7 linked regions of the Macaca mulatta genome follow. The protein of the gene in region 1 binds, or shares a complex with, the protein of each later gene. Links are inferred from orthologs where the notes say so. Each region holds a gene or a part of one and is shown in the gene's direction. Other genes may lie near its edges. The genes, in order: PPIL2, RNF113A, RBM48, CRIPT, PLRG1, SNRNP200 and EFTUD2.

Region 1 (4,229 bases):
GGAGTATAGTGGTGCGATCTCGGTTCACTGCAACGTCTGCCTCCCAGGTTCAAGCAATTCTCTGCCTCAGCCTCCTGAGTAGCTGGGATTACAAGCACCCACCATCACGCCCAGCGAATTTTTTTTTTTTTTTTTTTTTTTTTTTTTTTGAGACGGAGTCTCACTCTGCTGCCCAGGCTAGAGTGCAGTGCAGTGGCCGGATCTCAGCTCACTGCAAGCTCCGCCTCCCGGGTTTACGCCATTCTCCTGCCTCAGCCTCCCGAGTAGCTGGGACTACAGGCGCCCGCCATGTCGCCCGGCTAGTTTTTCGTATTTTTTTAGTAGAAACGGGGTTTCACCGTGTTAGCCAGGATGGTCTCGATCTCCCGACCTCGTGATCTGCCCGTCTTGGCCTCCCAAAGTGCTAGGATTACAGGCTTGAGCCACCGCGCCCGGCCGCCCAGCGAATTTTTGTAATTTTAGTAGAGACGCGGTTTCACCTTGTTGGCCAGGCTTGTCCCAAACTCCTGACCTCTAGTGATTCACCCACCTCGGGCTCCCAAAGTGTTGGGATTACAGGCATTAACCACCATGCCCGTCCCATGCTTATAGGTGTTTAATAAGCATATGCGGAATAAGCAAAGATTACTCACTTCCAAAGACTTTGTTCTCTGTATAAAGGTGGTGGTCATAGCATTATCTTCCTCTCTTCTTCAGGTACATTACTTGTGCTGAATATACTCACTTTTATGGTGGCAAGAAGCCAGGTAAGGCTTGCGGTCTTTCTGTTCCCCGTTGGGGGAGTGGTATTAAGGAACAGTGTCTTCAGGATACAGTGAGCTGTAAAAATAGACAACAAGAACACGGAAACTGTGGTAGACAAATGGGCCGAGGACAGTTCACGAAAGAGAAATATATTCAAGAAAGAAGAACATGCTTCTTCTTAGTGGTGGTTTTTGTAAAATGTAGATTAAAATATTCCCCAATGCTGGGAGCTAAGTAAAAAATAAGTAAATAAAATACAAAATTACATCTACATTTAAATGTTTTTTCTCTATTAAGTTTATAAGGAGTCCGGGCGCGGTGGCTTAAGCCTGTAATCCCAGCACTTTGGGAGGCCGAGATGGGCGGATCACAAGGTCACGAGATCGAGACCATCCTGGCTAACACGGTGAAACCCCGTCTCTACTAAAAAATACAAAAAAACTAGCCGGGCGAGGTGGCGGACACCTGTAGTCCCAGCTACTCGGGAGGCTGAGGCAGGAGAATGGCGTAAACCCGGGAGGCGGAGCTTGCAGTGAGCGGAGGAGACCCGGCCACTGCACTCCAGCCTGGGCGACAGAGCGAGACTCCGTCTCAAAAAAAAAAAAAAAAAAAAAAAGTTTATAAGGAATAAAAAGAATGATAATATTTTCAGCTGTCAAAACTATCAAGACTACAATAACAAGAGCACTGTCATAATTTTAATGGGACTAAAAAAGTACGCACTTTTCCCTGTAAGTTCTTTTTCGATGTACCCCGAGTGTTTTGGTTTATATCTATTAAAAGGTTTTTAAGGCCGGGCGCGGTGGCTCACGCCTGTAATCCCAGCACTTTGGGAGGCCGAGGCGGGCGGATCACAAGGTCAGGAGATCGAGACCATGGTGAAACCCTGTCTCTACTAAAAATACAAAAAATTAGCCGGGCGCGGTGGCGGGCGCCTGTAGTCCCAGCTACTCAGGAGGCTGAGGCAGGAGAATGGCGTAAACCCAGGAGGCGGAGCTTGCAGTGAGCCGAGATCGCGCCACTGCACTCCAGCCTGGGCGACAGAGCGAGACTCCGTCTCAAAAAAAAAAAAAAAAGGTTTTTAATCCACAGCAATTGCTGTACTTAAAAATTTGCACAAACTTTTTCTTTTTTTTTCTTTTCTTTTTTTTTTTTTTTGAGACAAAGTATCGCTGTGTCACCCAGGCTGGAGTACAGTGGCGCAATCTCGGCTCACTGCAAGCTCTGCCTCCCTGGTTCATGCCATTCTCCTGCCTCAGCCTCCCGAGTAGCTGGGACTACAGATGCCTGCCACCATGCCCGGCTATTTTTTTGTATTTTTAGTAGAGACGGGGTTTCACCGTGTTAGCCAGGATGGTCTCGATCTCCTGACCTCGTGATCCGCCCATCTTGGCCTCCCAAAGTGCTGGGATTACAGGCATGAGTCACCGCGCCCAGCCATGAACTTTTTCATATGCTGTAACTGAAACACATAGATGAAATACTGCAGAGTAAGATTTCTGTTTTTTGTTTCATTTTAAACAGATCTCCCACAAACAAATTTTCGTCGTTTACCTTTTGACCACTGCAGGTAAGAGTTTTGTGAGTTTACCTTTCCCTTGGAATTGTTCTCTGATGCTCTGATAGTGAATCTGCCCCTTGTGGATGTGGGGTTATGCGTAAAAGTGTGCTTTGAAGATGTGGCTCCTCAGTTCACGTTGGGAGAAGATGCGAAGTCCTCGCCATGATGGTAGGAGCTTACCTTGGTGTTGGATCCTGCTCTGGTCCTTCACCAGGGGTGGCACAACCACTACTGTAGTTGGAGGAGAAGGTTGGTGAGAGAGGGAAGTGGCCAGGCTGCCCGGAGAGGGCTCCCTGGGACAGCATCTCAGGAGGTCACCATGCCAGGCTCAGCCAGCCCACATCCTGACCAGGGTACCTGGCAACTCACCAGTAATGACTCCGTCCTTTTTCAGTCTCTCTCTGCAGCCCTTCGTCTACCCAGTCTGTACTCCAGATGGCGTCGTCTTTGATTTGCTGTGAGTTTTTCCTTGAATTTCGATCTAACAAATGTGAGATTCTCAACACCCATTAAGGAAGGGGACCCTTGGGTAGGGCTCTTGGGGACACAGAAGTAACAGCTAGGGCCTTGGGAACATGGCAGCAGTGCTGCTGTGACCCCTAGGCAGGCAGCTCTAGTTGTCAGGTGCTGCTGTCACTGCCTGGAATGGGGTAGACCACCCCACACCCCTCCATGTGGGGGTCCTAGTGTTCTAATTGGACACAGTGATCTGTTTTAGAATGGTAATGAACTGCATATTTTTTACTTTATGAAAGCAGAGCCATAATTATGGCATGTACCTTTTGTGTGCAGTATTTGGAAGCATTATGCCCAGTTTTGCGTTCCAGCATATGCTTCTGTAATTTTTTTCATGTTTCAGTCCCTTTTTTTTTTTTTTTTTTTTTTTTTGAGACGGAGTCTCGCTCTGTCACCCAGGCTGGAGTGCAGTGGCCGGACCTCAGCTCACTGCAAGCTCCGCCTCCCGGGTTTACGCCATTCTCCTGCCTCAGCCTCCCGAGTAGCTGGGACTACAAGCGCCCGCCACCTCGCCCGGCTAGTTTTTTGTATTTTTTAGTAGAGACGGGGTTTCACCGTGTTAGCCAGGATGGTCTCGATCTCCTGACCTCGTGATCCGCCCGTCTCGGCCTCCCAAAGTGCTGGGATTACAGGCTTGAGCCACCGCGCCCGGCTTTTTTTTTTTTTTTTTTAAGACGGAGTCTCACTGTGTCACCCAGGCCAGGCTGGAGTGCGATGGCACGGTCTTGGCTCATTGCAACCTCTGCCTCCCGGGTTCAAGCGATTCTCCTGCCTCAGCCTCCTGAGTAGCTGAGACTACAGGTGTGTGCCACCACGCCTGGATAATTTTTGTATTTTTAGTAGAGACAGGATTTCACCATGTTGGCCAGGATGGTCTCGATTTCTTGACCTTGTTATCCGCCCACGTTGGCCTCCCAGAGTGCTGGGATTACAGGTGTGAGCCACCACTCCTGGCCTAATTTTTAAAATTTTTAGTAGAGGCGGTGGCTGATGCCTGTAATCCCAACACTCTTGAATTCCTGTGCTGAAGCAACCCTTCCACCTCAGCCTCCTGAGTAGCTGAGATTTCAGGCACACGCCACTGTGCCTGGCTTGAAAGTATAGTTTTTGATGCTAGCTTAGTATTTAATTGTACAGATGTATCAACATTTATGACAGGGAGTGGTGGCTTATGTCTGTAGTCCCAGCACTTTGGGAGGCTGAGGCAGGAGGATCTCTTGAACCCAGGAGTTTGAGACCAGCCTGGGCAACATGGTGAGTACCTGTGTCTACAAAAAAGTACAAGAATTAGCCAGCCGTGGTGGTGTGCACCTGTAGTCCCAGCTACTTGGAAGGCTGAGGTGGGAGACTTGCTTGAGGCCCAGGGGTTAGAGGCTGCAGTGAGCCATGATTGAAACACTGTGCTCCA
Region 2 (3,918 bases), on another chromosome or scaffold:
TGGGAAAAATGTTTGTCATATATAAAACAGACAAAAAATTAAAAGTCTAGAATATATAAAGAACTATAGATTGAAAAGAAAAAAGACAAAACAATAGAACAGGCAAAGGATATAGGCAACAATCCACAGAATAAGAAATATATGACAGTAAGAAAAACTAAAAAAAATAAGAAACATAAAAGATTAAATATGTAAAAAGATGCCAACCTCACTAGTAGACAAGAAAATGCTAGTTATATATTAGCATTGTATGACCCTTGGCAAGGCATTACCAGAACCCACCTCAACCCTGGCAGAAGGCTGGCATCAGAGTGGCTTCTTACCTTTGACACATAGTGACGATTAACTCCAGAGATGCGCCTATCTCTTTCCATCAGATTCCAGTGATACCCAAAATGAGCAATCCTTTTTTCCTTCAAATAAGAGACAATTATTGTTGCAGTTTATAAAAGTGAGTGACCCAGTTGATGGATATTACAATTTTTAGAAGGGACATTCTAGAGAAATGGAATCATCATTCAAATAAAAATGCAAATTAGTAGTACAAGAACAGAATCTCCTAAATAAAATCAGACCACTACACTTTAGGATTAAGTTGGTGACCGTGACTTCTTACACTATTTTAACCAACATGAATTTCTTTTCCTTTTTAAAAAAAAGAAAAAAAAAAGAAATATCTAGTTGTTGCCTTTTGGGACACTAAGAAACAACAGCTGTAGATCACACGTGGACAATCACAAATTCAAAAAGTAAATAAATTTATACTCTGTACTCTAGAGATGATGTGAAGGGCTAAGAGGGGAAAATGAATCCTGATGTAAAACACAAGACCTTGCAGTAAATTCCTAAACGCTTGCAAGAGAAAGTGGGGAATAAAAAAGTCAAGGGTGGCCGGGAGCGGCGGCTCACGCCTGTAATCCCAGCACTTTGGGAGGTCAAGGCGGGTGGATCACCTGAGGTCAGAAGTTCGGGACCAGCCTCGCCAACATGATGAAACCCCGTCTCTACCAAAATAAATAAATAAATAGCCGGGCGTGGTCCCGGCTACTCAGGAGGGTGAGGCAGGAAAATCTTTTTTTTTTTTTTTTTTTTTTTTTGAGACGGAGTTTCGCCCTTGTTGCCCAGGCTGGAGTGCAGTGTCGCGATCTCGGCTCACTGCAACCTCCGCCTCCTGGGTTCAAGCGATTCTCCTGCCTCAGCCTCCCGAGTAGCTGGGATCACAGGCATGCGCCACCACGCTCCACTAATTTTGTATTTTTAGTAGAGATGGGGTTTCCCCATGTTGGTCAGGCTGGTATCGAACTCCCGACCTCAGGTGATCCGCCCGCCTCGGTCTCCCAAAGTGCTGGGATTACAGGCGTGAGCCACCGCGCCCAGCCAGGAGAATCTCTTGAACCCGGAAGGCGGAGGTTGCAGTGAGGGATTCTCAGGCTTGAGCCACCTCTTCTAATCTACCTTTCCGGCCCCCGCGTCGCTACTCTGCCCTAAGGCCCACTTTGATACACCCAGAAACGCTGTTTTTCACCAGAGCAGGATGTGGTTTCTACCGCGCTTCGTTTCGCAAGCCTCGGCTTCTAGGCAACCGGAAGAAAATAGAGGGCCGGCCTCGGAGAGAGGGTCCGCAGGCTGACGGACTCTCTGCCCACCATCCTTTTCAGAAATCAGCCAGTGGAGTCAGCCCCCGGGCCCAGGAAGCCGCCTTACCTTGCCCCCGTTAGTGAACCTCTGGATGTACGCAGTAGCCAGTCCTGGAATAAACAAGCACACGCCCATGGCGGCGAGTCCGGGGAGAATCTCGAACCACATCTCTGCCCCGTTATCTAGGCCAAAACCCTACTTCTGGGTCCTTGAAAGGTGACCGGGCTTCGGCTCCCTTCCCAGTAAGCCCCGCGGCCGCCCGCGAGCGGGGCGGTGCCACGTACGGCTCCGGAGGAAGCGACGGGATCTGCCAGGGCTCAAGAGAGGCTGGCGCTCGCGCTCTCGCAGTTCTCTTCCGTCAGTGTCTTTTGCTTCGACTCCCGGCGGAGCGCGCGACGTGGAGTAACGCGCAGAGGCCAAGTGCAACCCAGGCAGCGACGGCCGTTTCGGAGCTCGGGACTCTAAAATGGCAGAGCAGTTTTCTCCAGGGAAGACGGCGGATCAGGTGTGCACCTTCCTTTTCAAAAAGCCTGGGCGGAAAGGGGCTGCTGGACGCAGAAAGCGCCCGGCCTGCGACCCAGAGCCCGGAGACAGCGGCAGCAGTAGCGACGAAGGCTGCACTGTGGTTCGACCGGAAAAGAAGCGGGCGACTCACAATCCAATGATACAGAAGACTCGTGACAGTGGTAAACAGAAGGCAGCTTACGGCGACTTGAGCAGCGAGGAGGAGGAGGAAAATGAGCCCGAGAGTCTCGGCGTGGTTTATAAATCCACCCGCTCGGCGAAACCCGTGGGACCAGAGGATATGGGGGCGACAGCTGTCTATGAGCTGGACACAGAGAAAGAGCGCGATGCACAAGCCATCTTTGAGCGCAGCCAGAAGATCCAGGAGGAGCTGAGGGGCAAGGAGGATGACAAGATCTATCGGGGAATCAACAATTATCAGAAATACATGAAGCCCAAGGATACGTCTATGGGCAATGCCTCTTCCGGGATGGTGAGGAAGGGCCCCATCCGAGCGCCCGAGCATCTACGTGCCACGGTGCGCTGGGATTACCAGCCCGACATCTGTAAGGACTACAAAGAGACTGGCTTCTGCGGCTTCGGAGACAGCTGCAAATTCCTCCATGACCGTTCAGATTACAAGCATGGGTGGCAGATCGAACGTGAGCTTGATGAGGGTCGCTATGGTGTCTATGAGGATGAAAACTATGAAGTGGGAAGCGATGATGAGGAAATACCATTCAAGTGTTTCATCTGTCGCCAGAGCTTCCAAAACCCAGTTGTCACCAAGTGCAGGCATTATTTCTGCGAGAGCTGTGCACTGCAGCATTTCCGCACCACCCCGCGCTGCTATGTCTGTGACCAGCAGACCAATGGCGTCTTCAATCCAGCGAAAGAATTGATTGCTAAACTAGAGAAGCATCGAGCTACAGGAGAGGGTGGTGGTGCTTCCGACTTGCCAGAAGACCCCGATGAGGATCCAATTCCCGTTACTTAGCTGTCTGATAATTCTTAAATTTAAAAAATAAATATTTTGTTCTTTTGGAAGTCTTAATTCGTGTCCTTCCTTTGTAGAGACAGTGACAGAGAAGGCGGGTGGTGAAGTAGGGTCCTGGATTAAAAACCTCAAGGTAGGTATAATCAGGATTTTTAGCCCTAGGATAACCATTTTGCCTGTGTTTCTTTTCAGAACATTTTGGCATCAATTATAGGGGTGGGAGTAGTTTGAGAAAAGAGCTATAATTTGCTTGAAGTAGCCAAAGCTATGACGAAAGTAAGAACTCTGAGCCTGTTTATCATATCACATTTCTGTATCACTTAATGGTTTACAAAGTACTTTCATGCATTCTTTCTCTTGGGAGCCTGTACTACAAAATATACCGGAGCCAAGGTGTTGGGGAGAGGGGTTGCGTTTGGGGAATTGGTAGCTAGTACCACAGGCTTCACATATGGGAAATGTTCCTTGCTGTCTGGGTTATTTATTTATTTATTTATTTATTTATTTATTTTTGAGACGGAGTCTCGCTCTGTTGTCCAGGCTGGAGTGCAATGGCGCTATCTCAGCTCACTGCAACCTCCGCCTCCCGGGTTCAAGCGATTCCCCTGCCTCAGCCTCCCGCGTAGCTGAGACTACAGGCGCTTGCCACCACGCCCAGCTAATTTTTTGTATTTTTAGTAGAGACGGGGTTTCACCATATTAGCCAGGATGGTCTCCATCGCCTGAACTCGTGATCCGCCCACCTCGGCATCCGCCCACCTAGGCCTCCCAAAGTGCTG
Region 3 (4,229 bases), on another chromosome or scaffold:
TCATGTGCTATCAGTAGAAATCATAATCTACCACAAAAGCACTTGATTTTACTGGGTCATGTGTGGTTTTCTCAGGCTGCTGTTATATGTAATCTCACTTTCTTAACCAATCTGCCAGCTGTCATGGTTAGAGAAATATTTTCTCGAGCTTTTCTGTTTTCCAAAGTACCTAGTCTAGTAGGCTCTGAAGTAAGACATCTGGATTTGAATCCTTGCTCCTCAAACCAGAGTATGAGCATGGCTAAGTTATGTAATGTCCCAGTGCTTCTGTTTCATTACAGGGTTGTTGTTAGGTGTTAATTCAAGTGAAGCACTTACAACATTGCCTGGCATATGGTAAAATCTGAGCAAGTATTTGTCATTATCCCTGGATACAGAAGTAGTTAAATTTATTGTAGTACCTGGCCAATCATAGATGTTTAGTAAGTATTTATTGACTGAATAACATTCTTCTCATTTTCTCATTGTTATATGTTTAATAGTTCCTCAGTTATTGAACGTTTTATGATTATAGTATTTTTCATCTGATTTTTAAGGCAAGAATCCCATTACAGAAATACATTGTGCTGAAAAAGCTTAATTGGGTATGAAGTAACTCTTCAGGGCCACAGAGAAAAGCTCTATTTTATGACCACAGTTTATATACTTCAGGCCAACCAGCTGGGTCTTTAGTTGTTTAAAGACTAGGGAACAAAGAGGCTCGAAGGGAAGAAAAGGGGAGGCTCTAAGTACATACTCGAACAATGGGATGAATACTGTCCACAAGCAGAGCATCTTAATTGCCAATCCACAGGATATATATACACATAGCAAAAGTTGGACTTTGCTCTTTAGATCCAGATATTGTATACTAGTTAAGCTTTCATCCCAAGTAAATCTAGATTAAAAAACCATGCTATCTTATATTTCCATTCAGGACAGCCAAGAGAAAAATGGATGAACAGAGTTTCTTCGGTGGATTGCTTCATGTGTGCTATGCGCCAGAATTTGAAACAGTTGAAGAAACTAGAAAAAAACTACAAGTGCGGAAGGCATATGTAGTAAAAACTACTGAAAATAAAGGTATGGAAAGCATATTGCTAAATGCCTCCTGTATGTCAGGTACTCTGCCAGGTGTATCATCATGCAATTCCTAGTCTAGTGGGAGGAGAGGCAAGTAAAGCATCACAGTATTCAGTAACTGTAAGGGTTCTCTTCAGCACACTACATAATCTGGGTTGAGAAGGGAGAAATGTTGGTTCATAGAAGACTTCCTACAGTATGTGAGAAGTGGCTGAAATTTGAAGGATAAGTAGACATTAACTAAAAGGGAGAGGAAAAGATGGAAAGGCAAGCCAGGCAGGATGTTTAAGTGTTTAGAGGAATAAATGAGCATCATGCATTTAAGGAAATTTAGTTAATACAGTATAACCAAAGCTCAAAGGTTTCAGTGAGAGATAAGTTTAGAAAAGTGGATAAGAAGTGAATCATGAAGGGCCTTGTGTCCCATGCTAAGGAATTAAGGCTTTGACCAGAATGCAGTGAGAAGCAGTTATGATTTGCAGACTAGTTGTCACTGCTAATCATGGAGAAGTTCTACTTTTGACCAGCAATTGACTAAATGCCCCCATATGCCCCTTCTACCAGATAGTGGTAGAGAGAAATAAAGTGGGAAAACTCTTGGAAAACTTACTCAGAAATCTGGCAAGAGAGCTGTTGAGAATCCCCAGTCATCTGTATCCATTGAAGTCTAACTTGTAAGATAAGTAAATAAATAGCACCAGGAAAACTTAATGTGTTTGTATGACAAAGGACATTATAAAACATTAATGTGGAGAAAGACCTTTGACATTATCTGACCTGTGTCCTAATTTTTCTTGGTGAGGAAACTAAGTCTCAGAAAGTTTGTGACCGGCCTATATTATTACAGATGAATTAAGGACAAAAATAAGGATTAAAACCCAAGCTTTGGACTCTTTCTCCAGAGCTTACTTTTTAACTGCTTTAATTATCTCAGTGTTGGTGTGACAGCCTAGGGTTATCTTCATTATTTGCTCCCCTTCCTCTTAAGATCTTTTTGCCGTGCTGCTGATCTCAGAATTAAACCTGACTTGCTTGGCCTTGGACACTTCAGTTAAGCTGTCTTTCATCAGCATTTTAGCATCTGTGCGATGCATTTGTATACTTGGTCTTACTTTTCAAAAACTCTTATTATGAAAGTTATTGTTATTATTATTATTATTTTGAAACGGAGTCTAGCTCTGTCCCCCAGGCTGGAGGGCAGTGGCGTGATCTCTGCTCACTGCAAGCTCCGCCTCCTAGGTTCACGCCATTCTCCTACCTCAGCCTCCCGAGTAGCTGGGACTACAGGCGCCTGCCACCACGCCCGGCTAATTTCTTGTATATTTAGTAAAGACGGGGTTTTGCCGTGTTAGCCAGGATGGTCTTGATCTTCTGACCTCGTGATCCACCTGCCTCAGCCTCCCAAAGTGCTGGGATTACAGGCGTGAGGCACTGTGCCCGGCCTGGAAATTTCAAAACACAAAGGCAGAAAGACTAAGTTAATACATCTCCCATGTATTAATATTAACATCAACAATCATCAACACATAGCCAATTTCATCTTTACCACATCTTCCACACTCCATGTTGTAGACTGCTTTTGGGAGAGTAAACCAGGGAAGAGGCCCTTGCCAGCCCTAGAAGTGGGACAAGCATAGTGCTTTCTTTAGTAACTGACAAACACAAGCTAAGGAGCATGATACATCCAGATAGTGGAATACTCTGAAATTGTTAAAAAAAAAAAAAAACAAAAAAAACAACTTTCTGTATAATGATGGAAAACCTATATAAGATCTACAGTGAAATGGAAAATGCAGAGGTGCAGAGAAATGGATATTACATTTACCTTTTTTAGTGGGGAGAAAAAGAATGGGAGAAAGGTGGCAAAGTAAAACTTACTGAACAGATAAATAAAAAACAATAGTGATTACTTATGGGGATGAAACCAGACCCATGGAGTGCAAGGAAAGGGTGACACTTGATGCTGTATATCTTTTTATCCGTTTTAGGTTTTAAACCATGTGAATATATTCCCTTCTCAAGAAACAGTTTTTTTGGAGTATAATTTGTTAACGTTTTTAAGTGATTTTTAAAAATTATATGATTCTCAATGATGAAAACAATAAATTAACCACTTATGTTTCTCTTTCCCTCAACTTTTAAATTGTAATATAAAGACCATAACGTGACAAAGAAGAAATTGGTTACAGAGCATAAAGACAGAGAGGATTTTAGACAAGACTTCCACTCAGAGATGTCTGGCTTTTGTAAAGCTGCTTTGAACACTTCTGCAGGGAACTCAAATCCTTATCTTCCGTATTCCTGTGAATTGCCTTTATGTTATTTCTCCTCAAAATGTATGTGTTCATCCGGGGGACATGTGGACAGAGCATCAAACTCCTCTAAGGATGGTAGAAATCATCATAAAACAATGGGGCATTATAACCACAATGACTCTTTGCAGAAAACACAGATAAACACTTTTAAGAACTCAGTGGCCTACCCTGGTGCGCAAAAGGCTATTACGTCTTCAGAGGCAGTTGACAGATTTATGCCTAGGACAACACAACTGCAGGAGCGCAAAAGAAGAAGAGAAGATGATCGTAAACTTGGAACTTTTCTTGAAACAAACTCAGGTAGTAATGAGGTTATGATTGGACCTCTGTTACCAGACATGTCTAAAGTGGATATGCACGATGACTCATTGAATACAACTGCGAATTTAATTCGGAATAAACTTAAAGAGGTAAGGTTATTTTTAAAAACTGTTCTAAGAGACGATTTGGTTATAGGACTAAATGGGGAATTATTTGTGGGAACAATAGTATTGTAATTTTTTTCACTTTTTAGTTTTTTGATGTGTTTTTCTATAGTTCTCTGTTGAAATAACTGAATTTGGCTAACATTTTATTTGCTTTGAACTGTTAATACTTGCTTTAAACAATGAACAGACATTTTATATCACTGTAGATACAAAATATTAAAGCAGTGGTTTCAGCTAATTAAATCAATCTGTGAGAGTGGTGCCCAGGCCTGCCATTTTTGTTAAAAGCTCCCCAAGTAGTTCTAATATGAGCCAAAGTTGAGAAGGAAAATTCCATTTCTCTCAGATTTAGAGTTATTACAGTTTATATCAAAGTAAAATGCTTAATTTGCTTTTGTGATAAAGAGCAATAGAAGGTGAGATT
Region 4 (3,327 bases), on another chromosome or scaffold:
TGACCAACATGGAGAAACCCCGTCTCTACTAAAAATACAAAATTAGCTGGGCGTGTTGGTGCATGCCTGTAATCCCAGCTACTTGGGAGGCCGAGACAGGAGAATCGCTTGCACCTGGGAGGCAGAGGTTGCGGTGAGCCAAGATCACGCCATTGCCCTGTAGCCTGGGCGATAGAGTGAGATTCCATCTCCAAAAAAAAAAAAAAAAAAAAAAAAAGTGATATTCTCTATGGTTTGGAAAAATCTTTGTAAATGGGCTGTTATGCTATACCCAAGAGGAGACACTAGGTCTAGGACAGTGTTTCGTATCTGGTATATGAGGATCATTACAAAAACTCATTTTGTAGTTAGGGAAGCACAGTTAAAGCAGAGTATTATTGCCATTTTAGGGGGAAGTATTTCTTTTTTTCACTCCAGTTACTGTAAGATGGCATTTTTATATAGTAGAAGCCCTTTTATCTAAAAGGATTGAGTCAGTTAATTAAAAATGTCAGCTAATGTAAGCAGTCATTAAAAGATACACATACCTTATTTTAACTTAAAGCACATAACTGTAGATGTATTAATCATATGGTATTGAAACAAAGCCTTTTGAGCATAAATCAACTGATAAGTGCTCTACATGATTGTCGTCACAAAAATCACAATCAGAATATGTTCAGTATCTTTAAAGTGGAGCAAAAATTGATGCTTGAGGTATGGAGTCCTTTCCTAGTGATTTTCCCCCAGTTGTCAACAGTTGTCTTACCCATACCTAATTCAATAGCAATTCCGATTATTCCTGGTCGTCCTAAAGTAGTCACTTAGGTTTTATGGAATCAGTCACTCTTTTTGCACCGACATTTCATCAGTTTCCATAATATTTTTGTCACACAAATAGAATGACAGATACAATTGATACGAACACGTCAAGAATAAATTCTGTACAACTGACTATAAGTATATATCTCACATGGACGGAGCAGAGCAGAGATGTACAGGCATATCAGACAGTAGCCATCTGGAATAGGCTAAACCCATCAATTGTAGAGGTTGATGGAGGGATGAAGAGCATGGATTAATCCTGTGTGTTGCGTAAGTGGGGTTATTTAAGAGTGTGTTTCTAGTGTAATATACAATTTTCTCTCATTAAAAAAAATTTCTAGATTTGATCCATATGGAAAGAATAAGTTCTCCACTTGCAGAATTTGTAAAAGTTCTGTGCACCAACCAGGTTCTCATTACTGCCAGGGCTGTGCCTACAAAAAAGGTAAGTTTCTTTTAATACCTTTTTTCTATTCATAAAACCTACTTCATTTGCTGCTAATTTGGTTAACAGAAACGATGTAGCCTGTCATAAATTCTGTTAACCAAACACTCTTTATCCTAAGGCAAAATGGGACGTAAAACCTGTTTATAATTAAAAGTATATATATATATATATATTTTTTTTTTTCTCTTCTGATGCTGTTAAATTATATTTTAAGCTTCAGGATTGACTTAAACCAAACAGTTGGTATTATGATTTGATTGATCACGTATCTTCTTTTGTTTCAGGCATCTGTGCGATGTGTGGAAAAAAGGTTTTGGATACCAAAAACTACAAGCAAACATCTGTCTAGATGTATTGATGGAATTTCTGACTTTCTAAATGATTTTACTTTCTGCCTTGAATTTTCAAGGCATAGATGTCAACTTACAGAATAACGTGTTTTAAGACAATTACGTTTAAACCAGAGAATTTGATTGTTATTCATTTTGCTCTCATGCTCTAAACAGCAACAGTGTAACTAGTCTTTTGCCGTAAATGGTTTTTTCCTTATGAGCATTTTATTGAACTAAGTGGCAAATTCCATGAAAAATTTCTCAGTTCTGTATGCACTTTAAACATTATTCATGTAATTCTCCCCCACACACACTTTATTTATAGATACTGCAAAAGTGAGAAGGAGGTAATAGATATTTTGCTCTGAATTTGGCATCCAGAGTTAACAGTTCTCCCCTAACTCCCTTACTCGTGTCATAGTTATTAGGATCAGCAGCCTCTTAACTAATTGCAGTTTCATAGGATGTATAAATGTTTCAAGCCATTATTGCTGAATGGTTCTTTAGTTATTAACCTAGACCCAAATCAAAGACCAGTTTTTATTTGTTCTTGCCGCCAAAGTGCCAGTTCCTTTAATATGTGACCAGGAACACAAGGAATATCCATATATCCAAATAAACACACTGAATTTTAGAAAAACTTATTACTTTGAATTCAAATTGTCATGAAAACCAGAACAGTGTTTGTCCATGTTGCATGTAATGAACATAAATCCCTGCTCTTTGAGAAAAGCTCTTTGAAGCAAAAACCAAACTTTTTGTTTTTTTACCTCCTGTCTCCCTCCCTAAAAGAAATAAATAAAGCAAACATCTTGACTCTCCCTTTTTAAAATTTGTTTGTTTGTTTGTTTGTTTGATACAGGATCTCACTCTGTTGACCAGGCTGGAGTGCAGAGGTATCATCAAGCTCTCTGCAGCCTCCATCTGCTGGGCTCAAGCAATCCTTCCACCTTACCCTCCTAAGTAGCTGGGGGCTACAGGTGTGTGCCAGTGAGCTCAGCTAGTTTTTATTTTTAGTAGAGACGAGGACTCGCTATGTTGCCCAAGCTGTTCTCAAACTCCTGATCTCAAGCAATCCTCTGGCCTCAGCCTTCCAAAGTGCTGGGTTACAGGTGTGAGTCACAGCACTTGGCCTCTCTCTCTCTCTCTTTTTTTTTTTTTTATACTACAGGTTTCAAATGAGTACTTTTCTTATGTTGCCTTCAGAGGTTCAGGACTTCTGCTTTTAAAATCTGCAGGCTACCATGGGAGACCAAAAAAGCATTCCCCATTTCCAACTGCAGTATGTATAAATACGTATCACTATAAAATGTGTAGAATAGATAGTGTGATAAGATTTATGAATGGCATTTTTATTGGTCATAAAATTTTGATGAAAAGCATTTAAAGTTTTAACTTTATAAGGCTTTTCAAAATGTGTTTTTTTGAGATACCTTGTTATTCATATCCACAAAGATTATAAGGATAATGCAAAATATAATAATTCATCTGAGAGCAGGAAGTATCCTCTCATGCTTAATCAGTTTGATTAATTGATTATAATTTTAATTTTAATTAAAATTATAACACAGGGAACTCATAACAGGACCTGGTCAGAGAGTGTCCCAGAGCCATTAAAGATTGGATTTGTTGACTTGGAGAAAAGTACGTTTCTCAGGGATCGACTGGAATCTGGACTTGCCTAACTCACATTTCATTTATTTTTTAAATAATTTCCGTTTTTATTTTAGATGTAGGGAGTAC
Region 5 (4,676 bases), on another chromosome or scaffold:
AACTTTCAGGTGGATGACATAATTCTATAAATTCACGACAGTGTTTTAAAAGGAGCAAATTCGAGGCAATTTACCTCAATCATTACCATGTTGTTATGAGTCTGGGCCTATAAATTAATGTCTCCAGGATGATTAAGTATGTAAAAAGTTGTCCAACCAGACAATTAATATATTTCCATAGATATTAGTCTTGCTTAGGTTTCTATGGTTTTATTGTCATTTCAAATCATTGTTTTCTATAGTTATTATTCATAGGTGAGTATATTATTTAGTTCCTCAAGTATATATTTTTTAATTATAGTATTTTCTTGCAAGGAAATACCATCACCGGCCACTTTTACAGAAAATCAGTTCTTAGGACAAACTCACAGTCAAATTCAGGGATGTTTTATCTTCAAGCAAAAACATGACCTTAAGGCCGGGCGCGGGGTCCCATGCCTGTAATTCCTGCAGTTTGGGAGGCCGAGAGGGGCAGATCACCTGAGGTCAGGAGTTTAAGACCAGCCTGGCCAACATGGTGAAACCCCGCCTCTACTAAAAATACAAAAATTAGCCGGGCGTGGTGGCGGGCGCCTGTAATCCCAGCTACTCCGGAGGCTGAGGCAGGAGACTCGCTTGAACCCGGGAGGAGGAGGTTGCAGTGAGCCAAGATTGCGCCATGGCCCTCCAGCCTGGGCGACAAGAACAAAACTCCCTCTCAAACAAACAAAAAACCATGACCTTAATGTTTTTAATGAATTTCCAAGTGACGTTGATTTACACTGCTATTCTTTTGCTAGATTGTTTCCCCCTCTCAAAGTGTATGCAGTACGCTGTCAGGACAGATCAGTGAAACTGAAACAGGGCCAGTAAAATGTTTTGTCTATTTAAGTTTGCAAATGCCCAAGTCCATCCATTTTTCTTTTTACATAGAAAAATAATTAGGTAGGGTTGATCAAAACCGGAGATTTTACCAGGGTAGGAAGCAAAAATACCAATACTTGGCACAAGGATATGTATAAATAAAAATGGCTAAAGTCTCCAATTGTGTCTTTCTTCTACCAGCTTTGAAAAGCTGTACCCTGGCATTGTTGAAGCCACAATAATCAGCAGACAACTAGGAAATGGCCAAGAGCTATGTAGCGTTGAGAAGTTAAAAAAAAAAAAAAAATCTATTAGCAGAAAATGAATATGGGTTTTTCTTATATCTACATGTCAAAATTTTCCAAATTAAAACAGCCATTCCTCAACATTCACTCAGCAAGTGTTTACTGAACTGTTTAAGAGAAATTGTTTTCAGGTGTTAAGCCTACAAGTGTCCAAGTGCTTCTCGCCAGGATTGGAACCAGGAGACAGAAAGCAAGCAGGCGACCTCCAAAGAGATCAAGGCAGCGGAAGCGCCTTAGATAGAGCCCACGGGAGTTTGCTCTCCAGACGCTTAGGCTCTCTGAATAAAAAGCATTAAACTCCGGGGAATACAGCATGAACAACCAGGGCCCCAGCCAAGACATTGAAGGCTGAAGGTAAGGCAGAAAACATAATTCGAAGACTTCTTCAGAGGAGCGAGTGAAATCCTCCAGTCAGGCGCTTCCAGGTGTCTCCCCTCTACAGCCTCGAGCCTCCGCCCTAGGGGCGGTCCTGAGGAGGGAGACCCGCCTCTTGATCCCAGAGGGCCGGGGGAGACTAGCGCGCGTGCGCAGAGCTTGCATCACATCCGCCGCCTGGCCTCCCAATTCCGGAAGGTGCAGCACAGTTGTGGCGGCGGGTACTGCGTTAGTGATTAGGGTTTCTTCCCTGCCGGAGGTGGGATACGCGGTAGCATCATGGTCGAGGTAAAGTGACACTGGGACTCTCAAGAGTCGTTTGTCTCTGGACTGTTTTTCTTTGGCAGTGGGCGTGGGGGATTGAGAGTGCTTGGAGTCCGGAGAGAAAAGAGGCTACGAGGGAAGCTGTTTGGCCAAGGCCGGGTGGTCTCTTCATCGGGTTTTCGGGGAAGGGGTAGAAGCCGGATGAGAACCCGAGTCGGAGGTTCAGTCCGGGCGCTAAGCCTGAGATAATTCGTCCAGTCCTCGTTTGACTCTTGGGAGCTGGAAACTGTCCTTGGAGGCGGGGCCTCTGTTGGTGTTCGACCACTGGTACTCGCCGCCCTCGGGGCAGTGTCAGTGATTCTGTGCCCGAAAAGATTGGCGGTCTTCTCTATCTTGCGTTCAAGTCGTCTCTTATTTCAACTCTACTCCCAGAAAAACTTGCCATTCTTTACATCTTTCCCTGGCATGAACAGCCAGCCATTCTGTTAGCTGGTCTTATCCATGTTACCCCCCATGTTTATTGATTCCGTTCACTTTTCTCCGTATCCACTGCAGTCCACCTTAATTGAGACCAACATCATCTTTCACCGGGCCTGGTGCATTAGCTCCCCGTTGATTTCCTTGCTTCCATTTTGTTCCATAAGTTGTTCTGTTTAAAATGTAAGTTGTTCATACCTTTCTTGTTTAAAACCCTTTACTGACTGTGTTGCTAGAAGAAAACATAGGCTGTTGTAATAGTCTAAAATACCTTACCTAATCTGGACCTTGTCTACCCTTGCAACCACAAAGCACCATCTCATCCACCATATACAGCTGTGCCGCCCTTCTTGTATTATTTCAGTTAATAATTTTTTTACATGACATTTTTTTACATGACATTTCCATCAGCCTGGTTCGTTTTTATCTCTGTTTTGTGCAAGGCTAACTCCCTTTCTGCTTAAATATCACTTTAGTGAAGTCTTTCACAATTATACTTAGTCCTTCGTTTCCTGACCCAGTGCCTTGCTTGTTGCCCTCATAGCACTTATCAAAATGTGGAATTATTTTACTTTTTATTTGTCTGTTTCCTCTTGAGCACAGGGACCATGACTACCTTTTATCATTCTATTGTGAGAGTCTAGCACGATACCTGCCAGACACACAGTAGGAGCTCAGTAAATATTTATTGAGTAAATGACTAAACTATGGCATCACTCAGTTGCTATACCTGAGGTTCTAGCCAAAGAGGAGCTTCCTCCTCTTCTCTGAACTTGACTCCTGTAGCTCGCAACAAGTAGCTATGGTGAGTGGTATAAAGCTTTTTACATATTTAAACATGTGAAGTGTATAATCAATCTGACGTTAGGTTATGATTTGTGTAATTTGTAGATAGGTGTGTAATTACTTTTTTTTTTTTTTTTTAGGAGGTACAGAAACATTCTGTACACACACTTGTGTTCAGGTCATTGAAGAGGACCCATGACATGTTTGTAGCTGATAATGGAAAACCTGTGCCTTTAGATGAAGAGAGGTTGGTATAGTTTTTTTTTCAATTGCTGAAATATTTAACATTCTAATACTGGGGGAAGAGAGCAGGAAGAGGGAGACCTTTAAAGATAAACTGGCAATACTCATGGGCTAATTCAATAATGAGTGGTGTTTTGGCATAATTTAAGCTGATTTAACTTTTTTTTTTTTGGCCTTTTACAGTAAAAGTTCCATTAATTAATTGCATTTTACAAATACCCAGTAAATAAGAGAGTCCCTTTTAGGTATTTTATTTTATAATCAATCACTTTGTATGTGCTTTCAGCTTCCCGCTGCTCTCAGAGCCTTGCTGAGCTGAAATTGTACCTGGCCGGTACCTCTACTCCCATCTTTTCTCGTTAGTATGATGAAGATTTTTGAGTGGTGGCATATTTTTGGTTCTACATATCCAGCTCCAGTCTGGGATTGCATTATGTGCAGTGTTCCTTCTTTGTCCTTTACCCTTTTAAAATCGACTTAACTCCTCAAACAAGCATTTATATTTAATTTGTAAAGTAGACTATTTTTAAAAGTAATATAAGTGCATTTCTTTTTAAAATATTGAACCAATTAAGTACTTTTCTTAGTTCTAACTAACCTGTTTGGATACATCTAGTAAAGGTTGCTATAGAGTTTTTACTATATTTATATTTTGAAGGAAAGCGTATTGACTTTGAGGTTTCTTAAAGGGTATGTTAGTTTCTATATATCTTTCAAGCAGACCCTTGATAATTTATCATAAAATATTTTCTATTAGGTAACAAACTAAAATATTACTTAGGTTTAATGAATGCTGTGTGGTGGAATGTGAGCAAAAGAACAGATATGGTGGGGAAATGCACTTGGAAATTTTTGATTCTTTTAAATACTACTTAAAATCTTACTAGAAACTTTTCCTACATGATTGGGCAAACTTAAGCTGTCTAAGTGTTTGTTTTAAAGTATTTATGGATACGTTCTTATGTTTATAATTTCTAAATAGTCACAAACGGAAGATGGCAATCAAGCTTCGTAATGAGTATGGTCCTGTGTTGCATATGCCTACTTTGAAAGAAAATCTTAAAGAGAAGGGTCCTCAGAATGCAACGGATTCATATGTTCATAAACAGTACCCTGCCAATCAAGGTGAGTATGGTATTATCAGAAATGTCAGACGTATGTGTGAATTTTAAAAATAGAAAAATAAAATGTGTTATTTTTGCCCCTGCTGGCAGGACTTAGGTGTGGTCATACAGTATTTAATGGCTGTACCAGTATTATAATGGAAGTTTTTATCCTCGTGGGAATACTGAGACATTGGTTGATGACTTTTTTCTTATAGGAAATAAAAATGGTAGTATAATGATGGCAGAGATTCTTAGAATGTGGAGAAGGTCACAGTAG
Region 6 (4,229 bases), on another chromosome or scaffold:
TTAGACTTTAGAGATTAGCACACAGGAGAGCTCTGATTCTCCCTTGGGCACACTCTTGCTGGCCACTGTCCCTTGTTGACCTGTGGCATTTTGTGCAAAGATTTACCTTTTAACACTGCTTAATGGAGCCTCATTGGAGATCCTCCTGCCAGAATCACTTCCTGTTACTCTTTGGCCCTTGAATCTGCCTGTTTGGGGCATGCTTAGAGTGACCTCCGGTTTGCTGGCGTGGCTGAGCCAGCCCATGGCTGCGTGAGTGTTAGCACTTTCCGGTCAGAGGAGCAGTCCATCAGCAGTAGTTATGCCTTGGTGTTCCTGGGCTTTGGGTTCTGTTCTATGATGACTTGTTTTCTCCTGGATAGTCCCAGAGCAAGGCATCAGCAGCGTGGAGCTATCTCATAGCAATGTGTTACCTCTCATTCATGTTAGACCTTGTTCCTAGCCCGCCTTGCTGTGAGTTCTGAAACGTAACACAGGGTAAGCCACGGCCTGCCCATGAGGTAGTGAACCTGCTTCACCCAGAGACCCCTGTCCTCAGCCTTCTCTCCCCTTTTCTGCTCAGGGGCTATCCAGGTGGTGGTGGCTTCTCGGAGTCTCTGCTGGGGCATGAACGTGGCTGCCCACCTGGTAATCATCATGGACACCCAGTACTACAATGGCAAGATCCACGCGTGAGTACAGCTGGTGGTCTGTGTTAGCCCAGACCTTCCTAAAATGAGTGTGAATCTGCAGACACACAGAAAGCAAGCTAGGATGAAGGAAAGGTGTTAGGGAAGTTAACAGCTGAGATGCCACCAGAGCCAAGTATTTAGGAGTTTTGTGTCTCAATACCTAGGCTCACATTTGTTTTTTAGTCATTGTGCTTCCACATTCCGCAGTTGGGAGAGGTAGGCAGTTAGCGCCAGGAGGAATGTTTGACATTATGTCATTAACCTCAAACATCTTGTAGATTAGGAAAAGCGACTTGGTCAAGGTCATACACCTATATAGTGACAAGAAGCTAGAAGAGTGCTGAGCGCGGTGGCTCATGCCTGTAATCCCAGCACTTTGGGAGGCTGAGGCAGGCGGATTGACAAGAAGCTAGAAGAGTGCTGAGCGCGGTGGCTCATGCCTGTAATCCCAGCACTTTGGGAGGCTGAGGCAGGCGGATCACTTGAGGTCAGGAGTTCCAGACCAGCCTGGCCAACACGGTGAAACCCCGTCTCTACTAAAAGTATAAAAATTAGCTGAGCGTGGTGGCACGTGCTTGTGCTTCCAGCTACTCAGGAGGCTGAGGCAGGAGAATCAGTTGAACCTGGGAGGCAGAGGTTGCAGTGAGCCAAGATTGTGCCATTGCATTCTAGCCTGGGCAACAGAGTGAGATTCCATCTCAAAAAAAAAAAAAGGCCAGGTGTGGTGACACGCACCTGTAATCCCAGCTACTTGGGAGGCTGAGCAGGAGAATCGCTTGAACCCGGGAGGGGGAGGTTGCAGTGAGCCGAGCTCGCGCCAGTGCACTCCAGTCTGAGCAACAGAGCGAGACTCCATCTCAAAAAAAAAAAAAAAAAAGTTAGAAGAGTCAATCATTCTCAGAAAAACATCTGCTTTTTTTTTTTTTTTTTTTTTTTTTGAGACAATCTTGTTCTGTCATTTAGGCTGGAATGCAGTGGTATGATCTCGGCCCACTACAGCCTCTGCCTCCCAGGCTCAAGCAATCATCCTGCCTCAGTCTCCCAAGTAGCTGGGACTACCAGCATGTGCTGCCACTCTCAGCTAACTTTTGCTTTTTTTTTTTTTTTTTTTTTTTTTTGTATAGATGGGTTTTCACCGTGTTGCCCAGGCTGGTCTTGAACTCCTGAGCTCAAATGATTCACCCACCCAAAGTGCCGGGATTACAGGCGTGAGTTATGGTGCCTGGCCCAATGCTTAATAACTTTTTCCCGAAATGCGGATTAGTTTGAAGTGAATTTTATTTACGGGTTCATTTTTAATGTTTGAGGCTGCTTCTAGGTTGGGTTAAAGTCAGGTGACTTGATGACTCATGAAATGCACAGCTGTGAAGTTTGGAAAGTGCGGCGGTGCGCACCTGTGGTGGCTGAAGTGCGAGGATCCCTTGAGCCTAGGAGGTCAAGGCTGCAGTGAGCCGTGGCTGTGCCACTGCACTCCAGCATGGACAGTAGAGCAAGATGCTCTATCAAAAAACAAACAAACAAATAAATAAATAATTTTTTTAATTAAAGGAGAAAAGTTTGGGAAGTTTGACTTACATATTTGATCCTCGAATAGGGAGTTATTTTGGTTTTGGCATTAGATAGTTTTGTAGCTTGGTTCATGGCACTTGAGCAGCAAATTCATGGCCCTTACACTGAATGCTAAAATGATGTAGAGGCCAGCCAGTGAAGCCAGTTCTAAGTGCAGAGATTCATAAACAGAGTCGTGCTGTGATTTGACCACGCCTCCCCGTATTTACATTTTACTGTTAATTGGCGAAGGGAGTCGGGCCTCCTGAGCGTGGTCTCCGTGTTGAGGCGGCTTTTCCTTCTTTCCCCGCATCTGTCACCAGCTATGTGGATTACCCCATCTATGACGTGCTTCAGATGGTGGGTCACGCCAACCGCCCTTTGCAGGATGATGAGGGACGCTGCGTCATCATGTGTCAGGGCTCCAAGAAGGTCAGTCCTGGATTCATGCAGCCTCTTGGATCCGGAGCCTCAGAATGGATTCTTTAATCCTTTTGATAGACGTCTTCAGTAATTTTAGTCTCTTAACTTCTGCCTCTCTTATTTACACAATTCTTTTGTAACGAGCCTGCCACCCGTTTGGAATTTTGCTGCCTTTTGCCTTTGCTGCTGCCGTTGGCTCCATGTGTTGAGGGCTTTGCCCGCTAGTTGGTTCCCTCCTTCCTCACTGGGCTGCCCACTGCTCTGCCCTTGTGACTTGCTGTGCCTCTGTTCCCACTGCGTATTGTCGCCAGTGACGCACTTTCTAAACCTGTGGCTTCTTCCATTTTGGTATTAGTTAGGTCTCGCACGGGGACCATGCCCTGTTGATTTGCCCTTGGCCCTTTGTGACCATGTTGTCACTAATTCTTGATTAATGCTGCTGCTTCTCCAACCCACAGGATTTCTTCAAGAAGTTCTTATATGAGCCATTGCCAGTGGAGTCTCATCTGGACCACTGTATGCATGACCACTTCAATGCTGAGATCGTCACCAAGACCATTGAGAACAAGCAGGATGCTGTGGACTACCTCACCTGGACCTTTCTGTACCGCCGCATGACACAGAACCCCAATTACTACAACCTGCAGGGTCAGTGCGCTTGGGAGCACACGTGATTCTTTGGTGGTTCCCACAGCCTTTGCTGGGCATTTTCTCAAGGCTCCCCACTCACCTCTCACCTCCATAGGCATCTCCCATCGTCACTTGTCCGACCACTTGTCAGAGCTGGTGGAGCAGACCCTGAGTGACCTGGAGCAGTCCAAGTGCATCAGCATCGAGGACGAGATGGATGTGGCACCTCTGAACCTGGGCATGATCGCTGCCTACTATTACATCAACTACACCACCATTGGTGAGGCCCAGCACGGCCCGTGTCCTGTCTGTAGGAGCCTTCTCACACAGGAGTCAGGAGCCCACTGGGATGAGAGGTCTGCCCGTGTCTGTCAGCGGGATGACACTGCAGGGGAGAGCAGGGCAGCCCAGGCAGTTCTGCTCCTTCTCCGCTTGCTTTCGGCTTCTCTCAAATGTCCTTTTTCTGTCAGAGCTCTTCAGCATGTCCCTCAATGCCAAGACCAAGGTGCGAGGGCTCATCGAGATCATCTCCAATGCGGCAGAGTACGAGAACATTCCCATCCGGCACCATGAAGACAACCTGCTGAGGCAGGTGAGGACGGCAGCTTCAGGAGAACGTCCTGGGAACAACGAACTCTGCCTGTGTGCCCAGAGCACATGGCGTCCCTGCCACCAACACCCCCTTATGCATCCCCCGACCCCCACCATATGTCCTCCCCTCCATACCTCCCTCACACTCATCTCCATCCCACTGCCACCCACGTGCCTCGGGGTGTTGAAGGGCTGTGAGCCTGGGCCATGTGGTGCTTTGGCCTGAGCCAGTCTCAGGCAGGGTCACCTGTTCATCACCAACTATTTTTCTTCCACTTTGTAGTTGGCTCAGAAGGTCCCCCACAAGCTGAATAACCCTAAGTTCAATGATCCGCACGTCAAGACCAACCTGCTCCTGCAGGCTCA
Region 7 (3,732 bases), on another chromosome or scaffold:
ACGGGTGCACACCAGTGGGTCTCTAGCACCAGCTCTGTCAGACCCATGGGGGTTGTTCAGTGAATGGTGGTGGACAGCCAAACGGATGCTGAGAGCTATCTTGGAAGACTAGAATTAAGGCCCTAGTTTGATATCCCACTTATTCTTGGCTCAGGAATCTAATTTCTTTACTACAGTAAATTTTCTCGGGCTTTTTGGTGATGGTTTGGACAGCTCTTTTAACCTGCTGTTGTACTTGTCACTTGTGCTGATTAAGGCAGTTGGGATTTTCACAGAGGTAGTGTCAAGGGGAGCTTCTGAATTCCCTTAGGTAAATGGTTGCCCTTCCAACAAAATTAGACCTCGCTTCAGTAATTTATTTTCTATTTCCCAGGTGGCTGACCCAGTTGTCACGTTTTGTGAGACGGTGGTGGAAACATCCTCCCTCAAGTGCTTTGCTGAAACTCCTAATAAGAAGTAAGCTGGGAGCACAGTGTCCCCGGGACTGCAGCCTCCAGGACACTCTCTCTCCTTTATCTTCCACCTCCACCCCCACCATGAGCACTGTGCACAGAGACCCCTACATCTCAGAATGGGGGGTGCTTACAATACTTGAGTTTCACTCCAGCCCTCTCAGCCCTTCTGCCTTTGAACGCAATGCCATGGGATTATTCACCTTGGATATTCCCAAGAGGAGTTTCATAACTGCCACTTCACCTCTATAAAATAACTATCTTAAAAGTTTACTCCAGGCCGGGCGCGGTGGCTCAAGCCTGTAATCCCAGCACTTTGGGAGGCCGAGACGGGCGGATCACGAGGTCAGGAGATCGAGACCATCCTGGCTAACACAATGAAACCCCGTCTCTACTAAAAATACAAAAAAATTAGCCGGGCGAGGTGGCGGGCGCCTGTAGTCCCAGCTACTCGGGAGGCTGAGGCAGGAGAATGGCGTGAACCCGGGAGGCGGAGCTTGCAGTGAGCCGAGATAGCGCCACTGCACTCCAGCCTGGGCGACAGAGCGAGACTCCGTCTCAAAAAAAAAAAAAAGTTTACTCCAAACCTTACTCGCTTTTTGGTTTTTGGGTTTTTTTTTTTTTGACACAGGCTGGAGTGCAGCCTCGACTTGCTGGGCTGAAGCAGTCCAGCAGCTAGGACTGTGGGTATACACCATGCCATCTGTTAATTTTTTTATTTTTTGTTGTCCAGTCTGGTCTTGGACTCTTGGGCCCAAGTGTTCCCCCCACCTTGGCCTCCCAAAATGCCGGGATTACAGGCGTGAGCCACTACGCCCAGCTGTTTGTTTTTAAGAGGCAGTGTGTTGCTGTATCACCCAGATTGGAGTGCTGTGGTGTGAGCCATAGCTCACTGCAGCCTCAAATTCCTGGGTTTAAGTGATCCTCCTGCCTTGGCCTCCCAAAGTGCTGGGATTATAGGTCTGAGCCACCACACTTGGCCCCCGTGGCTTTCACCGATATTACTTCCTCAACTGTCCATCTTGTTACCCTTTTCTTAGGAATGCCTCTTCTGCTGTTCTGTTAGCCGTCCTTACCACCCATTTCCATTCTGACCAGGAACAAGATCACCATGATTGCTGAGCCTCTTGAGAAGGGCCTGGCAGAGGACATAGAGAATGAGGTGGTCCAGATTACATGGAACAGGTGAGAGGAGGGCTCTGACACCAGGATCGAAAGGAGGCAGGGATGCCGCAGCTTACCTGCCGGGTCTCTAAGAGCACACATCTTTCTGGGAAGCATTTATGTCTTTGCCGTTGCTCTTGTTCTGGGCACAGTGGGTAGGATGAGGTGACTGTCTTCCAGGAAGGGAGGGTCTATGGCTCCAGGACCAGCAATCACAGAGCTGGCCGACAGCTCCATTGTCCCCCTCCTTTCCCCAGGAAGAAGCTGGGAGAGTTCTTCCAGACCAAGTACGATTGGGATCTACTAGCTGCCCGTTCCATCTGGGCTTTTGGCCCTGATGCGACTGGCCCCAACATTCTGGTGGATGATACTCTGCCCTCTGAGGTACAGCAGAACTGATGGGAGCCGGGTGGCAGTCTCTTACCTCTGGAGTGGAAGAAACTACAAAGTGTTCTTTTCCCAAGAGTATCTTGTGTCCTCTGATGAAGGACAGTATCCCCTTACAGGCACATCTATCTTCTCCCTCTAAACGCTTCAGCTGTTGTCAGGGTGACTGCTAAGGAGGCCTCATGTTTCTCTGTAGGTGGACAAGGCTCTTCTTGGCTCAGTGAAGGATAGCATCGTTCAAGGTTTCCAGTGGGGAACAAGGGAGGGCCCCCTCTGTGATGAATGTAAGTCCACCAGCACTCCCCCACCCCAGTCCTCGAGGGTCCTTGCAGCCAGGCATATGAGTGGGATGGGCTCACCATCTTTAGGACCCGGCAGGAGAAGCAGCTTGGGGTACACAGGACCATCCCGTGTCCTGGGCCAGCTTCTTCCCTTCTTCCTTATCCTGGTGGTGTAGCCTGGAAATTTAAGTCATTTCTAAACTGTCATTTGCTCCTCATTTCTGAGAAGGGTTTGGCCTTGGACATATTTGAGAAGAGATACCAAGAGGATGATGAGATTGGAGTGGTTAATAGACCTTGATTGGGCTTCGTGCACCAAATGTACAATTCTGGAATTCTACATCCACAAAAATGTAAATATGTGCAGAAGAAAGAAATAAACTTCTAGGAAAGCTCTATGTCTGAGCATGGCCTGAAGCAAACACTAAGAACCTATGCTTAACTTCTGACCTCTGCCATGGGCCTTGCTTATTCAGTTAGAACGCCCACCTCCCATGTGATTTTTGTATCATGTCTTTCATGACTGCAAGACAGCTGCAGTGTTGCAGGAGACTGCTACTCCACCATGGCCCTGTGACAGGCCCAGAACCTCTCCCCAGTCACTGCCTCCACCTCCTTTACAGTGATTCGGAACGTCAAGTTTAAGATCCTGGATGCAGTGGTTGCCCAGGAGCCCCTACACCGGGGTGGGGGCCAGATCATCCCCACAGCCAGGCGAGTCGTCTACTCTGCCTTCCTCATGGTAAGAGAATGGGGCTGTAGGAGACCATCTGCTTCGCTGGACTGTGGACTAAGTGAAGGAACAAGTGGGACTATAGGCCCTCAGCCTTCCCTAAGCTGAGGGACCTTTCTTCTTGCTCTGCTGCAGGCTACTCCTCGTCTGATGGAGCCTTACTACTTTGTAGAGGTCCAGGCCCCTGCAGATTGCGTCTCTGCAGTTTATACTGTCCTGGCCAGGCGCAGGTGAGCAGCCCCAGCCCCAGGCATATTAGGAAGAGTGCTGAGAGCAAGAGCAGAACAAGAGTCACCTCGGCTCCTGCAGGGAGGAGAGATTGGCCTCCCCTACCCTCCTCACTCTGGAAACCCTGTGAGCTGATTTTCTAGAAAGAAGTAGGAACAGAGGGAGGCAAGCCCCAGCTTTTCTGCAGATTAAAATTTGACATTTCTCCATCCTGGCTAACAAGGTGAAACCCCGTCTCTACTAAAAATACAAAAAATTAGCCGGGTGTGGTAGCAGGCACCTGTAGTCCCAGCTACTCAGGAGGCTGAGGCAGGAGAATGGCGTGAACCCGGGAGGCGGAGCTTGCAGTGAGCCAAGATGGCACCACTGCACTCTAGCCTGGGTGAAGTATGAGGCTCCATATCAAAAAAAAAAAAAAAAATAGACATTTCTTTGGGATCCCCTCCTCACAGAGCTGTTGGAGGAAGTGCTGAGGCAAGTCGATGGA

What was found.
Region 2: PPIL2 (region 1) and RNF113A share a complex: the UniProt entries of both Homo sapiens proteins name them as parts of the minor spliceosome. The link is inferred for Macaca mulatta from reciprocal best matches to the Homo sapiens genes PPIL2 and RNF113A.
Region 3: PPIL2 (region 1) and RBM48 share a complex: the UniProt entries of both Homo sapiens proteins name them as parts of the minor spliceosome. The link is inferred for Macaca mulatta from reciprocal best matches to the Homo sapiens genes PPIL2 and RBM48.
Region 4: PPIL2 (region 1) and CRIPT share a complex: the UniProt entries of both Homo sapiens proteins name them as parts of the minor spliceosome. The link is inferred for Macaca mulatta from reciprocal best matches to the Homo sapiens genes PPIL2 and CRIPT.
Region 5: PPIL2 (region 1) and PLRG1 share a complex: the UniProt entries of both Homo sapiens proteins name them as parts of the minor spliceosome. The link is inferred for Macaca mulatta from reciprocal best matches to the Homo sapiens genes PPIL2 and PLRG1.
Region 6: PPIL2 (region 1) and SNRNP200 share a complex: the UniProt entries of both Homo sapiens proteins name them as parts of the minor spliceosome. The link is inferred for Macaca mulatta from reciprocal best matches to the Homo sapiens genes PPIL2 and SNRNP200.
Region 7: PPIL2 (region 1) and EFTUD2 share a complex: the UniProt entries of both Homo sapiens proteins name them as parts of the minor spliceosome. The link is inferred for Macaca mulatta from reciprocal best matches to the Homo sapiens genes PPIL2 and EFTUD2.

What each region holds. Positions count from the first base shown.
Region 1 is NC_133415.1:31,323,017-31,327,245, reverse strand, and holds part of PPIL2 (RING-type E3 ubiquitin-protein ligase PPIL2), read left to right. Parts: intron 1-696; coding exon 697-746; intron 747-1,889; exon of another isoform or gene 1,890-2,268; coding exon 2,269-2,314; exon of another isoform or gene 2,315-2,679; coding exon of another isoform or gene 2,680-2,699; coding exon 2,700-2,762; exon of another isoform or gene 2,763-3,167; intron 3,168-3,474; exon of another isoform or gene 3,475-3,602; intron 3,603-4,148; exon of another isoform or gene 4,149-4,229. UniProt on the Homo sapiens protein: Has a ubiquitin-protein ligase activity acting as an E3 ubiquitin protein ligase or as an ubiquitin-ubiquitin ligase promoting elongation of ubiquitin chains on substrates.
Region 2 is NC_133426.1:126,364,627-126,368,544, reverse strand, and holds RNF113A (E3 ubiquitin-protein ligase RNF113A), read left to right. Parts: upstream 1-1,889; 5' UTR 1,890-2,104; coding exon 2,105-3,139; 3' UTR 3,140-3,246; downstream 3,247-3,918. UniProt on the Homo sapiens protein: Required for pre-mRNA splicing as component of the spliceosome. As a component of the minor spliceosome, involved in the splicing of U12-type introns in pre-mRNAs. E3 ubiquitin-protein ligase that catalyzes the transfer of ubiquitin onto target proteins.
Region 3 is NC_133408.1:126,858,691-126,862,919, reverse strand, and holds part of RBM48 (RNA-binding protein 48), read left to right. Parts: intron 1-916; coding exon 917-1,062; intron 1,063-3,218; coding exon 3,219-3,787; intron 3,788-4,229. UniProt on the Homo sapiens protein: As a component of the minor spliceosome, involved in the splicing of U12-type introns in pre-mRNAs.
Region 4 is NC_133418.1:78,210,718-78,214,044, reverse strand, and holds the end of CRIPT (cysteine-rich PDZ-binding protein), read left to right. Parts: intron 1-1,145; coding exon 1,146-1,249; intron 1,250-1,536; coding exon 1,537-1,601; 3' UTR 1,602-2,416; downstream 2,417-3,327. UniProt on the Homo sapiens protein: As a component of the minor spliceosome, involved in the splicing of U12-type introns in pre-mRNAs. Involved in the cytoskeletal anchoring of DLG4 in excitatory synapses.
Region 5 is NC_133410.1:163,143,432-163,148,107, reverse strand, and holds the start of PLRG1 (pleiotropic regulator 1), read left to right. Parts: upstream 1-1,728; 5' UTR 1,729-1,802; coding exon 1,803-1,811; intron 1,812-3,190; coding exon 3,191-3,297; intron 3,298-4,275; coding exon 4,276-4,418; intron 4,419-4,676. UniProt on the Homo sapiens protein: Involved in pre-mRNA splicing as component of the spliceosome. Component of the PRP19-CDC5L complex that forms an integral part of the spliceosome and is required for activating pre-mRNA splicing.
Region 6 is NC_133418.1:5,013,858-5,018,086, reverse strand, and holds part of SNRNP200 (U5 small nuclear ribonucleoprotein 200 kDa helicase), read left to right. Parts: intron 1-562; coding exon 563-671; intron 672-2,542; coding exon 2,543-2,651; intron 2,652-3,100; coding exon 3,101-3,290; intron 3,291-3,387; coding exon 3,388-3,552; intron 3,553-3,742; coding exon 3,743-3,864; intron 3,865-4,146; coding exon 4,147-4,229. UniProt on the Homo sapiens protein: Catalyzes the ATP-dependent unwinding of U4/U6 RNA duplices, an essential step in the assembly of a catalytically active spliceosome. Plays a role in pre-mRNA splicing as a core component of precatalytic, catalytic and postcatalytic spliceosomal complexes.
Region 7 is NC_133421.1:69,231,614-69,235,345, reverse strand, and holds part of EFTUD2 (116 kDa U5 small nuclear ribonucleoprotein component), read left to right. Parts: intron 1-373; coding exon 374-456; intron 457-1,550; coding exon 1,551-1,637; intron 1,638-1,873; coding exon 1,874-2,000; intron 2,001-2,199; coding exon 2,200-2,287; intron 2,288-2,907; coding exon 2,908-3,026; intron 3,027-3,152; coding exon 3,153-3,247; intron 3,248-3,732. UniProt on the Homo sapiens protein: Required for pre-mRNA splicing as component of the spliceosome, including pre-catalytic, catalytic and post-catalytic spliceosomal complexes. Component of the U5 snRNP and the U4/U6-U5 tri-snRNP complex, a building block of the spliceosome.